Linked DNA regions of Diceros bicornis minor. The main gene of each other region encodes a partner of the protein of the gene in region 3 in a complex. Links are inferred from orthologs where the notes say so. Each region holds a gene or a part of one and is shown on either strand. Other genes may lie near its edges.

Region 1 (7,546 bases), on a different chromosome or scaffold from region 3:
GTACTGAGCGTGCACAGACGCACACACGGTGGTTTCGGATGGAACCCACAAAACTATTCGCCTTTTAAACATTCACCAAACACGTGACAAAACCATTGACGCTGATTACACTCCAGCTCTGTGACACACGCTGATCTTGTGTGCTACCATGAGGGGCTCTCAAACAGGGGTGATCCCGCCCCCAGGGGACACTGGGCCACGTCTAGGGACATTGTGGTTGCCACACTGGGGGTGCTCCTGGCATCGAGTGGGTGGGGCCAGGGATGCGGCTCCACAGCCCACAGCACGGCCCTGGACCTCGGCCCGGCATTTACAGCTGGTCCTCCTCGTCATAAACCTTCACCTTGGCCCCATGAGCTCCCATCATCCTCTTTCTCTCTGGCCCCCTGTGCCCAGGACTCGGCGTCCCGAGACAGGTGCACGATGCCCTGTCGTGCAGGCCGGTGGGGGGAGGGCTGGGTGTTCTCTGGGGTCCCACGGCGGGGTGGGGGGACTGCAGACACTGGGGCTCCTGCAGCCGAGCCGGTGACCTGTGTTCTTGAACCCCACGACCATCTGCAGCCTGGGTACCCTCAGGACAGGCAGTGGGGCCGTCTGGGGGCTCACAGAGCCCCCAGGCAAGGCTGTCTGGTAACATCACCAAGATGCTGGAGATGTCTAAATCCCCCTCCCAAAATAAAGTCTGCTCGCGCTGCCAAAGCCAGCAGTGCCACCCTGTCCGCCAGAGCGCCACTTGGAGCCCGCCGCAAGTTCCCTCCAAGCATTACGGTTACTCCCTGCCTGTCTTTCCCGGAAAGGTGGCCTGTTATAGGGCATTTAGATAAATCGGAACATATGTTTGAAAAAGAAAAAAAAAACGGGGAAGGTGTTTCATCAAAGTGGGGGTCCGGGGGGTGGGTCCCTGCAGGCGGGAGAAGCAATGCATGCCTGCCACCCCCCAAAAGAGCCAACGCCCCTCAGCCATCAGGCTCGGCGCCCCTAAACCCTGCGCTGTTCTTGGGGTGCGCCCTCCGTGACAGCCCCCTCCCATTGGGCCCCAGGGCCCACGGGAGCTATCCCTGAGCGGGGAGCGAGCATTCTCTCCCTTCCCCGCAGCCCAGGACCGGCGGAGCTCAGGAAGGGCCGCGAGGGTTGCTGTTTTGTAAACGACCTTCATGCCTTTGACAGCAGAGCTGAGTCCTTCAGCAGCCCTTATTTGGGGTGACAACACTGTGCCCACAGCTGGGCCGCCTCGCTGCCTGCAACAGCAACAGGTGTGCCTGGGGAGATGCAGACGCGGACAGGGATCTTCTCCGGGAGAGGGAGGGGGAGCCGGAGATCCAGCTCCCACCCAGACGTGGGAAAGGGGATGAGGAAAGTGCTGAACGCCGGTGAAGGCCCCTCCAGGGTCCACCCGCCCCGGCCTCTGGCTACAACAGAAACCCGAGACGAAAGGTTGTCTTCTCCCCCACGGGTGTAGGGTGTACCCCACTCCACCCCACTTGGGAGGACAGGGGGAGGGAGGCAGGGGAGCGGCCTGAGGGAACGGGCTGGAGGGGGCCAGGCCCGGCGTGCAGGGCATAGGGCTCCACCTGGTGGGAAGAGCCGAGACGGGAGCCCGGGAGGCGAGGGGCGCGTCTTGTGGATTACAGCCCAAAGGTCTGGCCCTAGGCTGATGCTGCAGGCAGCGAGGGGGGACACTCAGTGGGGCGGGGACAGGGGGCCAGCCCTGTGTGGGGAGGGGGTCGCACCATGAGAAGGGCAGCAGGCAGACCCTCCAGGGTTCTGGGGGCCTGACCCAGACAGAAGCAGGAGCTGGCCCTGCAGGGATCAGACACCAGGCAGCAGAGGCAGGAACTGACCCTGGCGGGTTCTGGGGGCCCCGCCTGGACAGCAGAGGCTGGGGCTGGCCCTGAAGAAACATGGGGCCCGACATAGTCAACAGAGGCAGGCCTGACCCTGCAGGGATTGTGGCCCTGCTGCAGACAGCACAGGCACAGGCTGACCCCAAGGGTCCGGGGCACCAACGTGCACAGCAGAGGCAGGGCTGACCTGAAGGAACCTAGGGCCTGCTGTGGACAGCACAGGCAGGGGCCGACCCTGAGGCCCAGGGCCCGCTCTAGACAGCTCAGGCACAGGCTGTGGACAGCACAGGCGGGGTCGGGCTGCGGTGGACAGCACGGCTCAGGACTGACTGCAAGGCCCCGAGGCCCACCGTGGACAGCACGGGCAGGGATGGGGGGGCCCCTCAGTGTCCAGCACAGGCACAGACCACGTCCAGCACGGGTGAGGATCCGCCCCCCCGTGTCCAGCCCAGGCAGGGACCGGCCCCCCGTGTCCAGCCCGGGCGGGGACCGGCCCCCCGTGTCCAGCCCAGACGGGGACCGGCCCCCCCGTGTCCAGCACAGACGGGGGGGCCGTGTCCAGCACAGACGGGGATCGGCCCCCCGTGTCCAGCCCGGGCGGGGACCGGCCCCCTGTGTCCAGCACAGACAGGGATCGGCGCCCCGTGTCCAGCCCGGGCGAGGACCGGCCCCCCGTGTCCAGCACAGACAGGGACCGGCCCCCCGTGTCCAGCACAGACAGGGATCGGCGCCCCGTGTCCAGCACAGACAGAGATCGGCGCCCCGTGTCCAGCCCGGGCGGGGACCGGCCCCCCGTGTCCAGCACAGACGGGGATCGGCCCCCCGTGTCCAGCCCGGGCGGGGACCAGCCCCCCGTGTCCAGCACAGACAGGGATCGGCGCCCCGTGTCCAGCCCGGGCGAGGACCGGCCCCCCGTGTCCAGCACAGACAGGGATCGGCGCCCCGTGTCCAGCCCGGGCGAGGACCGGCCCCCCGTGTCCAGCACAGACAGGGATCGGCGCCCCGTGTCCAGCACAGAGATCGGCGCCCCGTGTCCAGCCCGGGCGGGGACCGGCCCCGAGCCCGCCGCCCGCAGGCCCGGCCACTCACCGAGCAGCAGCAGCTTGAGCTCGCGCCGGGCGTCGCGCTTGTCCCGCCGCAGCTGCTTCTCGATCTCGGCGTTGATGCGCTTGGACTCCTTCACCTCGTCGCTCAGGCAACACGCCATCATGGACTCCAGAGTCATCGTCCCGGCCCCGGCCGCCCGGCCGCCCCCCGCCCGCCGCCCGCCCTGCCCGCCGCCCGCCTGGCCTCGGCGCTCGGCCCCCGGGCCGGCCGGTGCGCTCGGCCGCCTGCGAGCGCCGGTCCGCTCCGCGCGCTCTCCGCCCTGCCGCCCTCCGACCGCGCCGCCGCCGCCGCCACCGCTGCCAACCGCAGCCGCCGCGACCGAGCGACACCGCCGCACAACCTAACCCGCGCGCGGACGGCGCCGACGGGCGGGCGGCGCGGCCAATGGGAGGGGGCGGTGGCGCGCGCGCCGCCGCGGGGGCGGGACCAGCGGTGGGTGGGCGGGGCGTCGGCGGGCGGGGCGGGGCGGGGCGAGCGGGCGCGCCCGCGGGTTAGGTTGCGCCGACGTGGGCAGGGGGACGCGCGGCCCGGAGCCGGGCGGGGCCGCCCGGGATTGTGGGAATGTGGCGGACTCGGCCGGCCGGCTCGGCTGCGCTCGGCTCCGCTCGGCCCGGGAGCGAGAGGCGCGGACCCGGCGCGGCGGTCGCGGGGCTGGGGGACCCCGTTCCCACGCGGGACACTGGGGGACCAGCCCTCACGGTCTCCCGGCCGGAAACGAGCCTTCCCCTTGTCCGTTCTTGGAACAAGCATTAATGGAAGGCCTCCTGTATACCAGGCCCGGGCCGGGATTAATGCAGCGCCTGCTATGTGCCACGTATTGAGCAAGCATTAATGGAATGCCTCCTGCATACCAGGCATGGGCCAGCCTTTAAGGCAGTACCTACTGTATAACAGGCATGGACGAAACATTAATGCAGCGCCCGCTGTATACCAGGCAGGAAGCAAACATTAGTAGAATGCCTACTGTAAACGAGGCATGGGCCAGGCATTACTGCGGCGCCTGCTGTATTCCAGGCAGAGAACAAGCATTAACGTAAGGCTTGTTATATACCAGACAGGGCTAAAGCGTTAATGCAGCACCTGCTGTATACTAGGCACGGACCAAGCATTAATGCAACGCCTGCCGTGTATCAGACAGGGCAAAAGCATTATGGAGTGCCTACTGTAAACCAGGCACGGACACAGGCATTAGAGCAGTTCCTGCTATAGGCCAGGCAGAGAGCAAGCATTAATGAAGAGCCTACTGTATACAAAGCACTGCTTTCGGCCCTTTAAACCAACCCTCCTACTCGATTAATTTTACCGGAACGTAGCCATGCCCATTCATTTCCGTGTGGAGCTTAGCTGCTTTCACCTGGCAAGGGCAGAGCGGAGTGGCTGTGGACTACCCTACAATATACTATCTGGCCTCTCATAGAAAGACCTAGAACGAGGCCCAGACACACAGGAGGTGCTCAATCAATGCATTTGGAATGATGGAAAAAGAATAAAAGAGTTTGGAGTGTTCCTGGTGCCGGAAACCCATTCCACGGAGGAGGAAACCGAGTCCCCCTCTGCGGCGCCTCTCCCAGCCGCGACCCGGCGGGACCCCCACCTCCCCTCCCCACCCGGCCCTGCCCAGGTCCCGTCCCTGCACCTTGACACGCCACAGCCTCCTGTCTCGAGATACGGGGCGAGGGGGTCAAAGTCTGCGTTTATTGGCTGATGGCAAATGTGGGGAGGTTGGCTCCTTGGACCTGTCACCTGGGGACTTCCGTGCTCACCTCGGCGGGTGGCGCAGCCGGGGATCCTGGGCTCCCCCATGAACAGACAGAAGCCCATTGTGCAAAGAACCCACAGCCAGGGAGACCGAACAGAACCACTGTCACTCGGGCCCCGGCTCAAACGTCCCCTCCCCAGGGGGAGGGTCAGGCCAGCGCCCCCACCCTGTCACCACCGGCTGGACTTCCCCCACGGCCCTTTCCAGGGCTGGAAATCATCTTCTTTATGTATCTCTTTACTCATTTACCCGTAATATAAGGTGTCTTTGTCTGTCTTGATCACTGCCGTATCTAGAACCGGGCCTGTACACACTGGGCGCTCAATAAATCTTGAAGGAAAGGGTGGATTTGTTGTTGCAAATGTTGTTTGCGGTCCATATCAACCAGCAGACTGTGGGCAGTGACCGTGCGTGTCTCGGTCACCGAGGGGTCTCCCACGTCCAGCAGGGAGCCTTGGGCCTCTTCCCTCCTCCGGCAATGCTCCTGCGTGCCAGGTGCCACACCAGAGGGTGACGAGTGGAATCGTTCTTTCGTGTGTGTGAGGGCCACGTGTGGGGGGAACTCCGTCCGTCTCGTCTTCTGCGCTGTCTCCGGGACCTAAACCAGCACCTGGCATACAGCAGGTGCTCAATGAGTGTTTGTGAAATCAATGAAGGAACCGGGCTCTTTTTCTGGAGGTAAAAACCTCACTGTACTTCCTTCCCTTCTCTGCTCCTGTCCCGTGACGCCGTCACCACCTCCTTGCACAGGACTTAACCCTCAGGACGGAATCTCCTTTCTGCTGCTTGCTCTGGCGTGGACTGTGGGCGGGCGACTTAACTTTCCCGGGCCTGTTTCCCCATCTGTAAAGTGGGGAATATCATATCAGTTCTTTTACCTTGAGCTGTTGTAAATCGCCAAGAAGAAGGTTCTTGTGATGTACACAGTAGAAGCCTAATGTTTGCTTAAATATTTAAACACAAGGGGATGGTGGTAGATAACCTCCAGGACGGCCCCCAGCAAGCCCCGCTCTCTGGTATCCATGGCCTTGTGTAATTCACCCCCTGCCTAGGGTGTGGGTTGAATTTAGTGATCTGCTTCTAACAAATAGAATATGACGATGTGGCTTCAGAGGCTGGGTTATAAGGTGTCTTGGGCTCCCATCTTGGACTCCGTCTCACTCGCTCCTAGAGCCCAGCCGCTCTGGAAAGGAGTCTAGGCTATCCCGCTGGAGGAGCCCCGAGGCCTCCCGCCAACAGCCACTCAAGGGAGCCAGCTTGGAAGCAGTTCCTCCGTCCCCAGTCGAGCTTTCAGATGAGGCAGCCCCCGCGGACAGCTGGACCGCGACCTCATCTGAGACCCCGAGCCAGAACCACTTGGTTACGTTGCTCCCAAATTCCCAACCCTCGGAAACTGCGTGAGAGAACGAATGTTTATTGTTTTAAGGCATCAAGTTGGGGGGCGATTTGTTACGCAGAAATCGATCACAAATACATGCCGCCGAGAAAAATGGGAGTGATGTCACACAAGACCTGTGCGCAAATGTCCACAGAGGCTTTATTTGTAACCTCCCAAACTGGAAACGTCCACCAACCGGCGAGCGGATGAGCAAATTGTGGTCCATCCCTATGCTGGAATATTACTCAGCCATGAAAAAGGAAAAACACACACCAACATGAATGAGCCTTAGATGACTTGTGCTGAGTGAAAGGAGGATGTGCTCTGTGATTCCATTTGTAGAACATTCTGGAAAATGCCAACCGTGGAAATCCATGGTGACCGAAAGTAGCTTGCTGGTCGCCTGGGGATGGGGGTGGGGGTGGGGAGAGGAACAAGGAAACTTTTGATTGTGCCAGTGATTGCTCGGGGGCAGACATAGGACAAAACTCACCAAATTGTACATTTTAAACGTGTGTAGTTCATTGCGTGTCAATTATACCTTGAGAAAGCTTTAAAAAAAAAAAGAAATGTTCAAGGAGGTGGTACTTATAAAGTACACAGTAGGTGCTTAATAAATGCTTAAATGTTTCAAAGGACGCCGAAGCAGAGGCAGGCAGGGTGGGAGTGCAGCCCAGGGCGGAGAAACGAATAAGATGGGAGAAGGGGTGGTGGGTTCGTGAGTTCCCTAGGTATTTATCAAATGTCACCCATGACACCCCCTCCTGGCCGCAGCTCTGCCCTGGGCCCCTGGGCGTTGGGAGGAGGAAGGGAGGGGAACAGCGGGGAGCAGAATAACAGGGGGTGCCATCGTCCTCGTGCGTTCACTAAGTGCCTACTCTGTGCCAGGAGCTGGACGGACACCGGGAAGGCCCCCGATGAGGAAGAGGGGAAACTGAGGCCCACAGGGAGATGGTGAAGTGGCCTCAGGGCCCAGGCATTCGCTAATCGCTGACTTGGCTTCCCCTCCCGGAGGCCCAGAGAGACAAAGTCCGGCTGCGTCACCTCGATGGCCCCGAGGCCCCACCCGCCCTGCCCGCAGCCTCCCCTCCTGCGTCCTGGGAAGTGGCCTCCAGCCTGGAGGAGTTGCACTTTATGAGGGTCCGGGGCCGGGGACAAGGCTGCATCCCAGCGCAGAGCAGAGAGCAAAGGTGAGTGAGGCCCAGGCGGGGCCGGCGGGCTGCAGGGGACAGATTCCGCGGGATCTCTCACGTCCCTGCCCTTCCCCGGCCTCGGGGCTGACAGCGGGGCGCTCCCGTCTGCCCCCGGAAACCATCGATGCCCCCGGACACCCAGCATCGGAGAAACCGAGAAACCGGGGATGGGGCTCGCAGCCTTCTCCTGCCTTAGGAGGGTATTTATTTGTTTCTTTTTTTTTTTTTTAATAATTTTATGTATTTACTTTTTCCCCCAAAGCCC
Region 2 (4,924 bases), on a different chromosome or scaffold from region 3:
TAAAGGGCTAATGCGTCCCGATCGCAGCTCCTTTCACTGCTCGCTCGCTCAGCCTCTGCTTAGAGGCGACTCCATCACCATCCCGCGCTTCTCCGGATCTGGGACTATTTCGGGGGGCGGAAGTGGAATGAACCCCAGGTGGCCACCTCCTTGATATCAGGCACGGATTCGCAAGCCCAGTGCCAAGGGAAAAGGGTCGGGATGGTGCAGCGGCACCAGGACTTGAGTTCCTGGGGGACTTGAAGACAATGGGGACCACAGGACCCTGGCTGAAAGCCGTTTCGCGGAGCCCTCCTGCAGCACCTGGTTCCCTCCAGCCGGCCTGGGAGGCCCCACTTTCCCACAGGTTCCCACCCTGCCGGGGTTCCCCGCGCCCCCAAAACAGAGGCAAAGGCTCTTCAGCACTTTTATTAAAAACTAGTAAGGCGGAGAGTGCTGAGGGTATCCCTGGGCGGTTCTAGCGCAGCGGGACTGGGTCAGTTCCGGTCACGCACGTCCCGGCCCGGGGGTGGGCAATGGAGGTCGAAGTTTTCGGGGTCCCGCGGATCACTTGCCCACCGAGTCGAATATGATGCGATTCTGCTCGGCGCGCTCTCGCTGGCTCTGCGTCCGCGCCAACTCCAGCAGGGTCCGCAGCAGGTGGAAGGTGAGGTCAATGGACAGCGGAGGGTCGTCCCGTCGCGGCCGCTCGTCCGCGGTCACGGATCCCCATCGGCGAGGCCCCGCGCGGCGCGGGAAGCGCTCCGCCAACAGCAAGAGGAGCGCGCGGGCTCCGCCGCCCTGGTTCCGCCCCCCGGGGCTCCAGCGCAGACTCGGGTCCTGGACCCCGGCCTCCGCCGCCTCCGGGTTCCACTGGCTGCTCCCCGAGCGCAGCTGTGCCAGGAGCAGCAGCGCCGCCAGCAGCGCCGCGCGTCCCTCCCGCCTCATGGTGCCACCGGCCCTGGACACACAGGAGCAGCGCAGGGTGAGCTGCGCCTGGGGCAGTCGCAGGTGCCGCCACTCTCCTTCCGGCGTATGTCCAGCGCCCCCGCCGGGCCCCTGCGGCTGCCTCCCGGTGCCCACCACCTTCCCTCCAGCCCCAGCCGCTGCCCAGTCCTGTGCCACCCTTTCTTCCCTCCCTCCCTCTTGGCGGGTCGCCGTGGGTGAGCTGAGCGCAGGGTCCCGGTGCTAAGGGAGCCCGGGCGGACGCTCCCAGCCACTCACAGGTTACCGGAGAGCGTCTGCATGGTGCAGGACGGAGCTCCAGTCTCGTCCCTCGGGGCGGGCTGAAGGCGCCTTGGGGAACACGGGGTCTGTCCCGGGACCGCCGCCAGCCTTATATAGCGCCAGGACAGCTCAGACTGACGTCAGCGAGGAACATGTACTGATTGTAGAGCAATGACGGCCGCAGCTTCCAGTCCAGCCAGTTGCAAGACCCCAAGGGGCACGCCACGGGACACGAGACTTCCCGTCTCCGGGGCTAGGGCTGGAAGCAACACCGGACTCAAGAGGGCGAGAAGCTGGCTGGAGCGTAAAGATTGCTCTGGGAGCCACAAGAGTCCTTCACCCGCTTATAACAGCCAGCAGTGACTAGGGGCCGGTCCCCAGACTAGACTAGTCTGGATCTCCAGTCTTCTCTGGTACAAGAAAGGGAGGCTGACCCGCGGGGCTGTCCGTGGTGCTGACGGTGAAGGTGTCCTCTGCTTCTAGAAGGGGCCAGAGGCACTGGGAGAACGCTGTGCTGCTCAGACCCAGTCCCTTGTCCCAGCTATCAGTTCTGTAAACTGAGACAATCAGGAGCACACAGCTGGCACTCATCTACCACATGGTACCCCCCAAGACGCAGCTGAGGCAGCCTGAGTCTGCCAGGATTCTTGATCTTATTCCAGCGCCAGGATTTAAATTCTCGGGCTGTCTGACTGAGGCACCATAAAAAGAGGCCTCAGGGTGCTTTCCGACCACAAAAGGCTGGATCATCTGCTTCTCAGTTTGTCCCAAAGTGGTAGTTTAGCCAAGTTAATTTTTCTCCTGGGAATCACAGCAGCAGCATTACTGTATCTTTGACCTCCAGGTTAAGATCACTGGGTAGGACGTAAGGAAACCTGGTGTCTTAGTCCATTCGAGATGCTCTAACACCATAAACTGGGAGACTTATAAACAACAGACATTTATTTCTTACAGTTCTGGAGGCTGGGAAGTCCAAGATCATGGTACAGGTAGTTTCAGTGTCTGGTGAGGACCTGCCTTCTGGTTCATAGATGGCACCTACTTGCTGTGTCCACACATAGCCTTTTTTACAAGGGTATTAATCACCTCCCAAAGGCCCACCTCCTAATACCATCACCTTGGTCATTAAGTTTTCACTATATGAATTTGGGGGGTATTCAAACATTCACTCTATAGCACATAGGTTCAAGTTTCTAATCTGCCAGTAACTCGTGGTGTGGATAGGCACCTCATTTCTATGGACCTCAATGTCCTCATCTGTAAAAGAATATTAAGTTTGGTAGTCTCTAGGCTTCTTTCTAGCTCTAGAAATTTTGACTCCCCAGTAGTTTTCTGTTAGTCTTGCTCATTGCCTCTGCAGGTTCCAGGTTACATATTTAATGACATATTTACAGTGGTACCATATAAAGAGTTTGAGAGGGTCCCCAAAGAACTGGAGCTACACTAGGGATGGGAAGGGTTAGAGAAACAGATGTGTCTATGAAGAGTGGGGATGAGTGGCATTTGTCAGGATATGGGTGTAAACTAAACTTGACAAGATCATATGGTTCAACAAATATTTATGGATGTGGTGGGTATAAGACTATTATAAAGGTTTTAGTGATTTCAAAAGGAGTCAGTTTACATTTTAGAGTGAAATGGGCCACTTAATAGCGCTAACCCCATTAAGTTCTGACTAGCAAATTAACCCTGTGAAAATGATGTGCCCTCTTTGAGGAGGTTGTCTGACCATTCTCGAGTCAAGCTGCGTCACTGCAAGGCGGAAACAATGGAGAGAGGCAGACTTAGAGCCGGTGTGCCTTCCAGGACAGGTAGGAGTTCCAGATAACAGCAACACACTGGACAACAGCCAACCTAAGGAACAGGAATGGCATTGTGGAGAAGAGGAAGAATGAAGAGCAAGCAAGGGGGAAGAGATGGGAAAGTGCAATGGAAAAGGAGAGATTATCTCCGAGAATGCCGAGATTTAGGTCTCCCTCCTTCAGCCCCCTATAGAAGGACGTATGGCTCAGACCAGAGGACAACCAGCTCAGGTTCTGGTGCTGTCCCAGAGCGGTCTCCTGGACAAGAGCCTCAAAGTTAAATACCCTCAGTAGCCACCTTGCCACATGGCCGTTATCCATACCCCTGTCCGGGCTCCTTCTAAATACACGTATCTGTCTGTCTTGTACCAGCTGAGGAGATATCATCTTCCAAAAATGTACTATCTGCCACGCAAAGTAGCACCTCCTTCTCTTTATTTTAAATTTTCCTTGCTTTAGTTTCAAAAAAGTTGCAAGGACCTTAATGTTTAAGATTTTTGGTTCATAAATCTAGATTCCTTATAGCTATGCTATTCATGTAAATTTTGACCACATCCCCTCTGAAGAGTTTCATATTTTTCCCTGTTCTCAAAGCCCTCCTCACCTCCAATAATTTTAACTACTCATCCTGAATTCCACTATATTTTTATTGTGGTTTCAGCAATTAGTTTTATTATTAGGGTAAAATAATACTTTGCAGTGGAGTAACCTGACGAGGTTCCTACTTGGCTCTTTGGTCTATCTTTCCGTCTAACCTAGGCCATAGCACCCCAGGCACTGTCCCTACAGCAAAGGTAGAGAGCTCAGGTGGGATGGAGACCAGGGTTGTGGAGCAGGATCCTCCCTAGGAAGATGAAGGTCAGTGGGCAGACACTCTGTGACAGGTTCTGTAATGGGTAAGAAGTTCTGAATAAAATGCTAGAGTCTGAGGAGCTCTGATCAGGACAGACTGTTCTATGGGGTCTAAAGAAGTTCAAGGTTGAAATGAATATCACTTCATCTACAACTGTTCATAATGCAGATCTTCCTTGAAGGGTGGGGTAGGGATCTGTCATACCTGTAATGAAGGGGGACCAGGTAGAAGTTGGCTAACTGCACAGCAGGCCAGAGCTACAAGAGAGAGAATGTAAATGTTGGGGGGCTGACTCCATCACCTGATCCCCAGACTCACTGCCTGGTCTAGTCTTATTCCAACTTCTGCAGACAAGAACAAATTGAACAACTGGGTGAGCGCTTCCCTGAGGATGTTCCCACACTGGGAATGAGGGAACAACTGAGGGATGTCTCAGGGACTTCTCTGTCAGGAGGACCCCAATCCCTGGGCACTTCTGGACTCAAGAAAGCAGGAAAACAGGCAGTTGAGGTGTCAGCTCTTACATAGTAGTTGGTGATGAGGGCGTCAGGGTAATCCTGAGGAGACAGAGAAGGAACAAGTTAACACTTCCATTTCCAAGCAGCTCCCACCTCCCAGTCTGAATATCACACACAGACTTCTGTTCAAAGAACACGCTCCTGCACCACACCCCCCTCAGCTCCTCTCCTCCAGAGCCTGAGATCCAGCTGCGCTTCACCTTTCTCATTCCCCGGAAGCCTGCCTCATTCCCCTGGGTCTGCCAGTCTGCAAGCCAGAGATCTTCCCCACATCTGCCCAGCTCACCCGCTGGAGTTTGGCCCAATTGTCCTGGGCTGACAATCCATTGAATGTTCCTACCAGTGGGAGGAAACAGCCTAGAAAACACGGGGCAAAGCCCCCCTAGGGAAGAGAAATGAAAGCGCTGTGAGTACCTAACCCTCGACCCACCCCCAGCACAGTTCACCCTTCTCAACTCCCTTTCCCTTCTGCTCACCTGATCCAACAGCATCTTCTTTAGTGCATCCACTTTGGTGGTGCCCGGGATGAGCCGGTCCAAAAGCCT
Region 3 (7,584 bases):
AGACCCTGGTGTGTGGGGGTATGTGTGGGGGTATGTGCAGGGCCCTGGCCTTGGTCTTGGGGAGGGCCATGCAGGTCAGGAAGGTTCCAGGCTTCTGGGGCCCCGGGCCCTGGCGGGGATTTCTCTCTTTGCTGAGGCTTCTCAGGACAGACGGCCCCGCCCAGAAGCCCAGACTTGGAGCAGGAGGCCACAGAATCGCTGTCCTGAGACCCTGGGGTCAGCAGGGAGTATCTTGCTGCCCCACAAAGGTCCAAGGGGCTGGACCCAGCCAAAAGGGGCTGGTAGACTCCTGGGATCTTCACAGAGGAGGAGGCAAGCAGCTCGAAAGGTTAGAATGGAGGGTTTTGGAATCCAGCAGCCACATTCCTCAGCCTCACTGAACGTCTGTTTCCATCTGTAAGTAACCGATCCACTTTCCCGATGTTTTAGTCAAGTGCTTAGCACAGCACTGGGTGTCCAGGGCAGGCTGCATGATTACAGCGCTGCCCCCAAAGCAGCTTCCCAAAGGCCTCAGAGGGCACCCCGGGAGCACCAGGGTCAAGGCTTGGCTCCTCCGGGCTCTTGCGGTGTGGGCTGGGACAAGGTGCAGGGTGTCCTCCTCACCCAACCACCAGCTGGAACTTCCCCAATTGCAGATCAGGTCGGGCCCTTCCCCTCCATGCCCTTGGGCTAGAAATCGGAGCCCACTGGGGACCCACCATGCCCCCTGCAGCCTCACACCATCTCTTCTCAGGGTCGGGGCTCTGGGGCCTTCCCCGCTGCTTGCTCTCCCCTCAGCCCTCCTCTCCGACCACCCCACGGCCACCCCTGCCATCCTGCCCGCCTGTCAGAGGCTCTCACACCTGCACACGCTTTTTCTTAGTTCCCGTGGCCAGAGTTTGTAAATACACACTTAATTCTTCGCCATTATTTTCTTCCTGCCAGGGTCTCCTTCTAGGCTATGACTCCATCGGGTGGGTGTTTTCACCCTTGTGTCCTCACGGCCCGGTCCTCCTTAAGCACTGAGTGAATAAATGAGAGGGCTGGAGGCCAGGCCCCTCCTGGGTCACCTTCCCTCCCCACCACCTGCTCTGGAGCAGAAATCTCAGAATAGTTGGACCAGGACCCAGAAATAAATCCCATTACCATGAAGGCTCAGAGCAGGGAAGGCTGCGCTTTGGGGCCAGAAAGACCGCAGATTAGTTCCTCTCTAGCTGGTTACATGATGAGTAACTAGTCTCTTGTCTCAGACTGGGGTCATGGAGGGAGCTAGGGGCAGGGCCTGGGCTGACTCTAAAGGGAGTTTAAAGGGACTGTTGCCTCTGAAGTTTCCTGTTCTGCGTCCCCAGAACTCAGGGTACCCTGCCACAGATCCCCTCTGCCTGGCCTTGCTCTGGAGAGCAACCAGAAGCCCTCTCCGTCTAACCAGCATCATAGCCTCCAGAGGGGAGGGCCGAGGGGCAACCCGGGACCTAACACCCAGCTCTCTTGGAAGGCACACACCCTGAGAATGAGTGGGAGGGGACAAAAAGAGCTCAACGCCCAGGACCTGGGGGTGGTGGGTGGGGGATGGGGGTGAATCCACGGCACAACCTCCCCCCAAATACAGTCTGCAATGTCACTACAAGGGCCTGGCAGGTCTAGGGGCCGCCTGACCATCGGGGCACTGACCACACCTCAGCATGGTGCCCACCCTTCCCCTCCACGTGACCAGACCCCCTGGGAGGGCAGGGCCCCTGGTGTGGTCACACTTAATCTCTAGTGCCGGGCACAGAACCATAGCTGCATTTACCGAGTGCTTGCTCTGTGCTGGGCATGGTGCTAAGAGCTTTCCTTGTATATCTCATCTGTTCCTCACAACAGCCCTATTCAGTAAGCACCAACACCATCCCCATTTTACAAATGAGGAAACTGAGGCTCGGAAAATTTGAGTAACGTGTCCAAGGTCACACGCTAAGCAGCAAAGCAGGGATTTGAATCAGGTCTGTCGGAAAAGCCACTTTGCCACAGTCAGCTGATGCTTGCTACCTGTCTTGAATGAATATTGAATGAATGGGTCCTCAGTGTACATATGGGGACATCGAGGCCCAGGAAACGGGCCCCAAGGCTGGTCTTTGTTGGAGTGGGGACAGGACTAGGCCTCCTGACTTCCAGCCTGGCTCTGTCCCCAGCATTGTGTGGTCTCCGGGCCCCTCTTTGCCCTCTGAACCCTTTTAATGCCGTGGCTCTTCATGAAAAGTGTGGCCTAGGACAGGTTGCTCTCTCTGAGCCTCAGTTTCCCCATCTGTAAAATGGGGAGAGGGTTAGAGGGAGATTCCTCCCGCATCTGTTTCTGGAAATCACTCCCTCTCAGCCTCACTTCCCTTCTTCAAAAGCTCCTTCCTTATAGCTCCTCTCCATCCCTTTGCTCCAGCCCCCACCTGCAGACCCAGACTCTGGGCAAAGGGCACCTACAGTTTTGAGAAACCACCCCCGTGCTCCCTCTGCCCCATTGCTCATTTGGTACTGGGGCTGCCTGGTTTGAGACACTAAGAAGAGGGTGAGGACAGGGTGCAGGGGATGGGGGGCAGCTCTCTGGGGGTCCACTGGGAGGAAGGGCCAGAACTGGGGTGGGGTGAGGAAGAGACTTGAAGCTCCTGCAGGGGATATGGAGAAGGATCCATGAAGGAGGGGACAGAATGGACAGGGAAGAGGGAATTTGTGGACCCGAGGAAGGGCGTGTCATGGATGCTAGGGCGTCACTCAGAAGGCTCTGCTCATCCACAAGGGCCTCCCTGTCCCATCCCAGTTGTGTTCGAGTTCCCTCTCCTCTCCACCTGCCCCCCTCCCCAGGCAGGAGATCTCCATCCCATGATCCGCACAGGGATCCCCAATCCCAACCCGGCGCACAAGCCCACCCAACTCATAACAGGGCTGAGGGAAAAGGCCGAGGAAGTGAGCACCAAGACTCCCTCCCAGCCCCTAGTCCTGAGAGCACGGAGCTCCAGCTCCCGGCGCCCCCACCCTGAGACCCGACCCCACTCCCCGCACTTACTTCGAGCAGCGGCAGGAGGAGGCAGAGCAGGCAGAGGAGAGGGTGTGGGGTGTGGAGGAGGCGCGGGGGCCCCGCGGGACCCCCCATGCCCGCAGCGGCTAGGGACCGGAGCACACCTCCCAGCGCGGCTGTTCTGCCCCGCCCGCCGCTCCCCCGGGCCACAGCCGCATTGGCCTCCTCCCTCCCCACCGGCGGAGCAGGCCAAGGTAAGGCCCTGGGCACAGGGGGTACTCTCCCTCGCCCCCTCCCCCAAGGCAGCGGTGACACCGCCCCACAGCCCGCCCCTCCACGTTATTTATAGCGGGCGCTGGGCAGCCGCTTCTGCCCCAGCAGCCAGAGGCCAGACTCTGCCTCCCGCCTGCAGAGAAGGGGTTAATGCCTTCATCCGCCACCACCTTTGCCAGGGCTGTAGCTACCCACTGCCAGGAGAGAGGAATGGAGAAAGGGGGCAAGGAGTCTCGCTGTGGCTGTGGCCAGAGCATAGGTGGGCTGGGTGGGTCTCATCCTCACCAGGTGTCCCAGCCCTGCAGGCATGTTCTGACTGTCTGGGGTGCTTTCACCGGGCACCAGTGCCCACTGGGACGCTTGCAAGTTGAATGTGGATGCCGGATTAAATAACTGTATCAGTGTTCAATTTCCCAGTTTTGATAACTGCACTGTGGGTAGGTAAGAGAATGTTTCTGTTCTTAGGAAATACACATTTAGGGCTAAAGAGGCAGCCTGTTTGTAACTTATTTTCAAATGCTTCAGAAATATACACACAGATATACATATAGAGAGAGAACAATAAAACAAATGGGGCAAGAAACAGTCTGTAAATCTGGGCAACGGGGATGTGTGTATACTTTGGCTTATTCTTCCAACTTTTCTTTAAATTTGAAATAAAATGCTAAAAATAAAAACCCCAAACAACCATGACAACAAATGCAGCAGTGCCAAACCCCACCCAGAGATTCTGGTTTCATAGGTTGGGGTGGGACCCAGGCACTAGTATGTTTCAGTAAATTTGCCCAAGGATCTTTATGTCAGGCATGGCTGAGCAGTGTTGATCTTGGGTGGGGAAAGGTCTAACCTGGGGCTGGGTCAGGGCTCAGGAGGTGAGGCCTGTTCTGGGGGGGCCTCTGGAACTATTCCAACAGGTGGGCCTGGTGCAGGGTGTTTAAAAACTTACGCAGCATTTCCAGCGTCGTTGTCGTTAGGATCTGAGGGGAAAGCATTTGAGGAATGCGATTAGCGGGGCGCTGAGCTTTTCCTGGAGGATGCAGACAAGGTGGGTACAGGCCCCGGAGAACTCAGCCCGAGTTCAAGAAACTCAGACACTGTGTTCACTCTAGTCTGTCTGCCGGGGACACTTTTCTGTCCCTCAGGTCCTCCTCCCCTCCACCCCCTTCCTCCAAGCAGCCTTTCCTGATTGTTCCCACATCGCCCTCCCCTGAAATCTCACAGGCTTGAGCCTGAGCCCCTGGCTCCTCCCCCTACCCCCATGTGGACTGTTCTCTAACTGCCCCTTGGGTGAGGCTGGTGGTCTCCAAACAGCTTGGTGGGGGAAGGCACTCCTGAAGGTAGAGCCCTGGTCTCTCCCTCCTCTTTTTATCTTTTCCCCTCCCTTCTCTGTTGCACAGAGCCACTGGGGATATGTGGTGCAAGGGAATCTTTATGGGAAAAGCTGAGGAAGTGTTGACCAGATCTCCCCATTCATTTGAAGATGACGGGGTGGAACTTGATCAGAGAGGATCCTGGCGGGAGATGACCACTCAGCCAGACTTTGATGGATGCGTAGGTTCAGAAAGAGTTGATGGGTCAGCATGAGGTCCAACAGTTCTCTTCAGCATGTGTTCCTGGAGCGTCTCCATGGCCAGCCTCACATGGACGCTCTGAAGCAGAGAGCAGAGGCTGGGACCTCAAGGCCAACCTCGTAGACTGTGGGGAGTGTGCCAGCAGAGGGAAGGTATGTGGAGCCCGTGAGATCTGGGCACAAGTAACTGCGATGGGAGGTAAGAGGGAGCACAAATGCTGGGGCAGCTCAGGGCAGTGAGGGAGGGGACTTTTGGGGGAAAAATGCTGCAGGAGCATCATAAAGAATTTAAACAGGCGGAGAAGGGGACACCTTTACTCTGGATGGAGGAGTCAGGGTGAGCAGAAGCAGGAGCTGGGCAAGTGCAGGCTGGCTCAGCCGGGGGTCTGGCTGAGGCTGGGACAGTGTAGGGCCAGGAGTGGGGGACAGACTGGACGGGATCTAGTTCTAGGAAGATCTACGGAACAGGTACAGTGGTGATGGCCGGATTCCTTGCTGGCAGGGCTTTCCCTGTGCTTCCAGATCCATCCCCTCCTCCCTGACCTGGAACACTCTTAGGAGGACTGCCCTTGGACAACTACAATTGCTTTTTGCACCAAGGAGGGGATCCCCAGGTACCCAGGAGTTTCCCCAATCCCCAAAGGCATGCCTAGCCGTTGACTGGCTGGTGCTCCTTTGCCTGGAGGTGGATGAACTCCAGGTGTAATTAACACCCGGGGGCCCTGCAAGGTCAGGGGAGGCTAGGACTTAGCTTGGCATATCTCACTGCTGCCGGACTTCTTTTTCTGTCCTGGTTTGCCCCCTCTCTTACCAGTCTCTCCTGGGAACATTTCCTTCACAAATCGCAGCAGGCGAATCCTCATCTCATCCTGAAAAACCTGACCTAGGGGAGCCTGGAAAGTCAGGGAAGTCTGGACTTAACCCCTCTAAATGCAATAGGTTCAAAACAAACAACAACAACAGTAAAAAACATACACAACCCTTGAGCCTCTGGGATGTCCTCTGGACAGCCCTTCTCAGCTTTCAGGGGCTGCTGATGTTGGAAGAAACCCTGCCTACAACTGTGATCTGGGCAGGCTAATTAAAATTGTCGTTCCAGAGCCTGCCCGGTGACATTGCGGTTACGTTTGCGTACTCTGCTTCGGCGGCCCGGGGTTCGCCAGTTCGGATCCTGGGCGCAGACCTACGTACCGCTCATCAAGCCATGCTGAGGCGGTGTCCCACATAGAGCAGCTAGAAGGATGTACAACTATGACATACAACTATCTACTGGGACTTTGGGGATTAAATAAAAAAGGAAAAAAGCGGGAAGATTGGCGACAGATGGTAGCTCAGGACCAATCTTCCTCAAAAAAAAATAAAAATTGTCATTTATCAGCTTTGTGTGCCTAAGGGCAGACTCCAAGGCAGAGGAGCCTTTTTATTTTTGAAATGCCTTCATGACCCTTATTGGTTATGAAAGACCAACACAGGGTGGTCTACCAGGGAGGTGGGTGATTTGCTTTGTACAGTGTGGAAATTCCTAGATCTGGCTTGGCACGCAAGATGGCAAAGGGGTAGAAGGGCTAGGATCTGGGCTGAGGGTTGTCCCAGGGACTTAGAGGGAAAAGAGGGGGCAAGGACTGCAGGGCAGGCCAGGTCTGAGGAAGGATGGGCTGGAAGGGCTTCCCTGAGGTGTGAATGGTCAGTGAACGTTAGCAACCGGGCTGTGATTATCCTCCACTCTCCTCCATCTTCAGCACGAGGCCACAGTACAGGACAGCCTGCGTCATGTGCTTGGGGAATGAGGAGGAGGTGCTGCACCCGCGTACGGATCGAGGGCTGGAGAGGAGTCAGCAGCTGCAGGAGGTGGGAGGATGTACTGGACATTTCTTTGTTTTGTCCAGAATGGTCCTGTCCTTCTGAGAGATGCTCCCTCCTCTACTCCAGTGTTTCTCAACATTTTTTTTCATTATCAGCACCCTCCTGAAGGAGGCTTTTTAATTTCTTTCCTAATTGCCCTCCCCGCTATGAAATTGTAATCCCACAGACATACTGTATATCTGGTTATGTACTGTGGTTCTTTGGAGGACCACAAACCACTGTAAGATCTAAGATTGTTCTGCCCTCCCAGAACTGCTTTGTGCCTCCTTGGGGGCATTATTCCCCTCCTTGAGCGTGCCTGCTGTACTCCAACCATGTGATTTGATTGGCAGCGGGTCACTGTGGATTGGCCCAATGCCATCCACCAGGCCGGACAAAGGAGAGGGCCGCACGCGATGACTACAGTTGGTTGGTACAGGAAGGGACAGCTGATCTGAACCAACTCAATCAGAGTCCCTCCCTAGGATTTTAAAACTTTGCATCAAAGAGAGAGACCATTCCTCTCTCTTGGAGAAACTGAGAGATGCCAAGTGCAGCAGCTGCGTGGCTGTTGGCTGCTGTTTGGAAAAAGCCAAGCTGGAGGAATGAGCTTCCACGCTCCAGAGGGGAGCAGAGAAGAGAGACCTCTGAGGCTCTGGTTCCAGGCCAGCCAGAAGCACGCTTTGCCTCTGCCCCTGGTTAGGGAGTTCTCCAATGAATCTTCCCTGATGCCCGAACTAGTTTGAAGTGTGTTTCTGTTTCTCACTACCTTAGGAATTCTAACCAACATAGAAGGGATCAGGAATTGAACAGGAGTAGAATTCATCATAAAAGGTGACTAGGAAAATGGAAGACACTCCATCCCCGTGTTTGGGGTCTAGAACTGTTGGGGAGAGCCCAGACTTTTCTGTAAATCTAATGGGCTCGGGGCGAT

The links.
Region 1: the proteins of CRHR2 (region 3) and GNA11 are in contact, whole or in part, in a cryo-EM structure (PDB 7TRY), measured with the Homo sapiens proteins. The link is inferred for Diceros bicornis minor from reciprocal best matches to the Homo sapiens genes CRHR2 and GNA11. Residues at the interface, in NP_001874.2 of Homo sapiens: Arg148, Tyr208, Leu209, Ala212, Ile213, Thr216, Glu220, Lys293, Lys307, Ala311, Phe358, Tyr359, Phe362, Asn363; in NP_002058.2 of Homo sapiens: Arg37, Ile348, Leu349, Asn352, Leu353, Glu355, Tyr356, Asn357, Leu358.
Region 2: the proteins of CRHR2 (region 3) and UCN are in contact, whole or in part, in a cryo-EM structure (PDB 7TS0), measured with the Homo sapiens proteins. The link is inferred for Diceros bicornis minor from reciprocal best matches to the Homo sapiens genes CRHR2 and UCN. Residues at the interface, in NP_001874.2 of Homo sapiens: Phe68, Asn69, Gly70, Val71, Tyr73, Ile101, Leu102, Asp103, Asp104, Arg107, Asp110, Tyr113, Leu117, Asn120, Trp166, Leu169, Gln170, Val172, Asp173, His174, His177, Glu178, Thr188, Phe191, Asn192, Phe199, Phe256, Gly257, Lys258, Asp265; in NP_003344.1 of Homo sapiens: Asn84, Pro85, Ser86, Leu87, Ser88, Ile89, Asp90, Leu91, Thr92, Phe93, His94, Leu95, Leu96, Arg97, Thr98, Leu99, Leu100, Leu102, Arg104, Thr105, Ser107, Gln108, Arg111, Ala112, Asn115, Phe119.

What each region holds. Positions count from the first base shown.
Region 1 is NW_026691553.1:2,409,708-2,417,253, reverse strand, and holds the start of GNA11 (guanine nucleotide-binding protein subunit alpha-11), read right to left. Parts: upstream 3,092-7,546; 5' UTR 3,070-3,091; coding exon 2,934-3,069; intron 1-2,933. UniProt on the Homo sapiens protein: Guanine nucleotide-binding proteins (G proteins) function as transducers downstream of G protein-coupled receptors (GPCRs) in numerous signaling cascades.
Region 2 is NC_080751.1:55,532,390-55,537,313, reverse strand, and holds UCN (urocortin), read right to left. Parts: upstream 994-4,924; 5' UTR 928-993; coding exon 547-927; downstream 1-546. Other genes in the region: protein Mpv17, read right to left, coding at 4,194-4,418, 4,666-4,761, 4,856-4,924. UniProt on the Homo sapiens protein: Acts in vitro to stimulate the secretion of adrenocorticotropic hormone (ACTH). Binds with high affinity to CRF receptor types 1, 2-alpha, and 2-beta. Plays a role in the establishment of normal hearing thresholds.
Region 3 is NC_080742.1:54,986,485-54,994,068, forward strand, and holds the start of CRHR2 (corticotropin-releasing factor receptor 2), read right to left. Parts: upstream 3,101-7,584; coding exon 3,014-3,100; intron 1-3,013. UniProt on the Homo sapiens protein: G-protein coupled receptor for CRH (corticotropin-releasing factor), UCN (urocortin), UCN2 and UCN3. Has high affinity for UCN.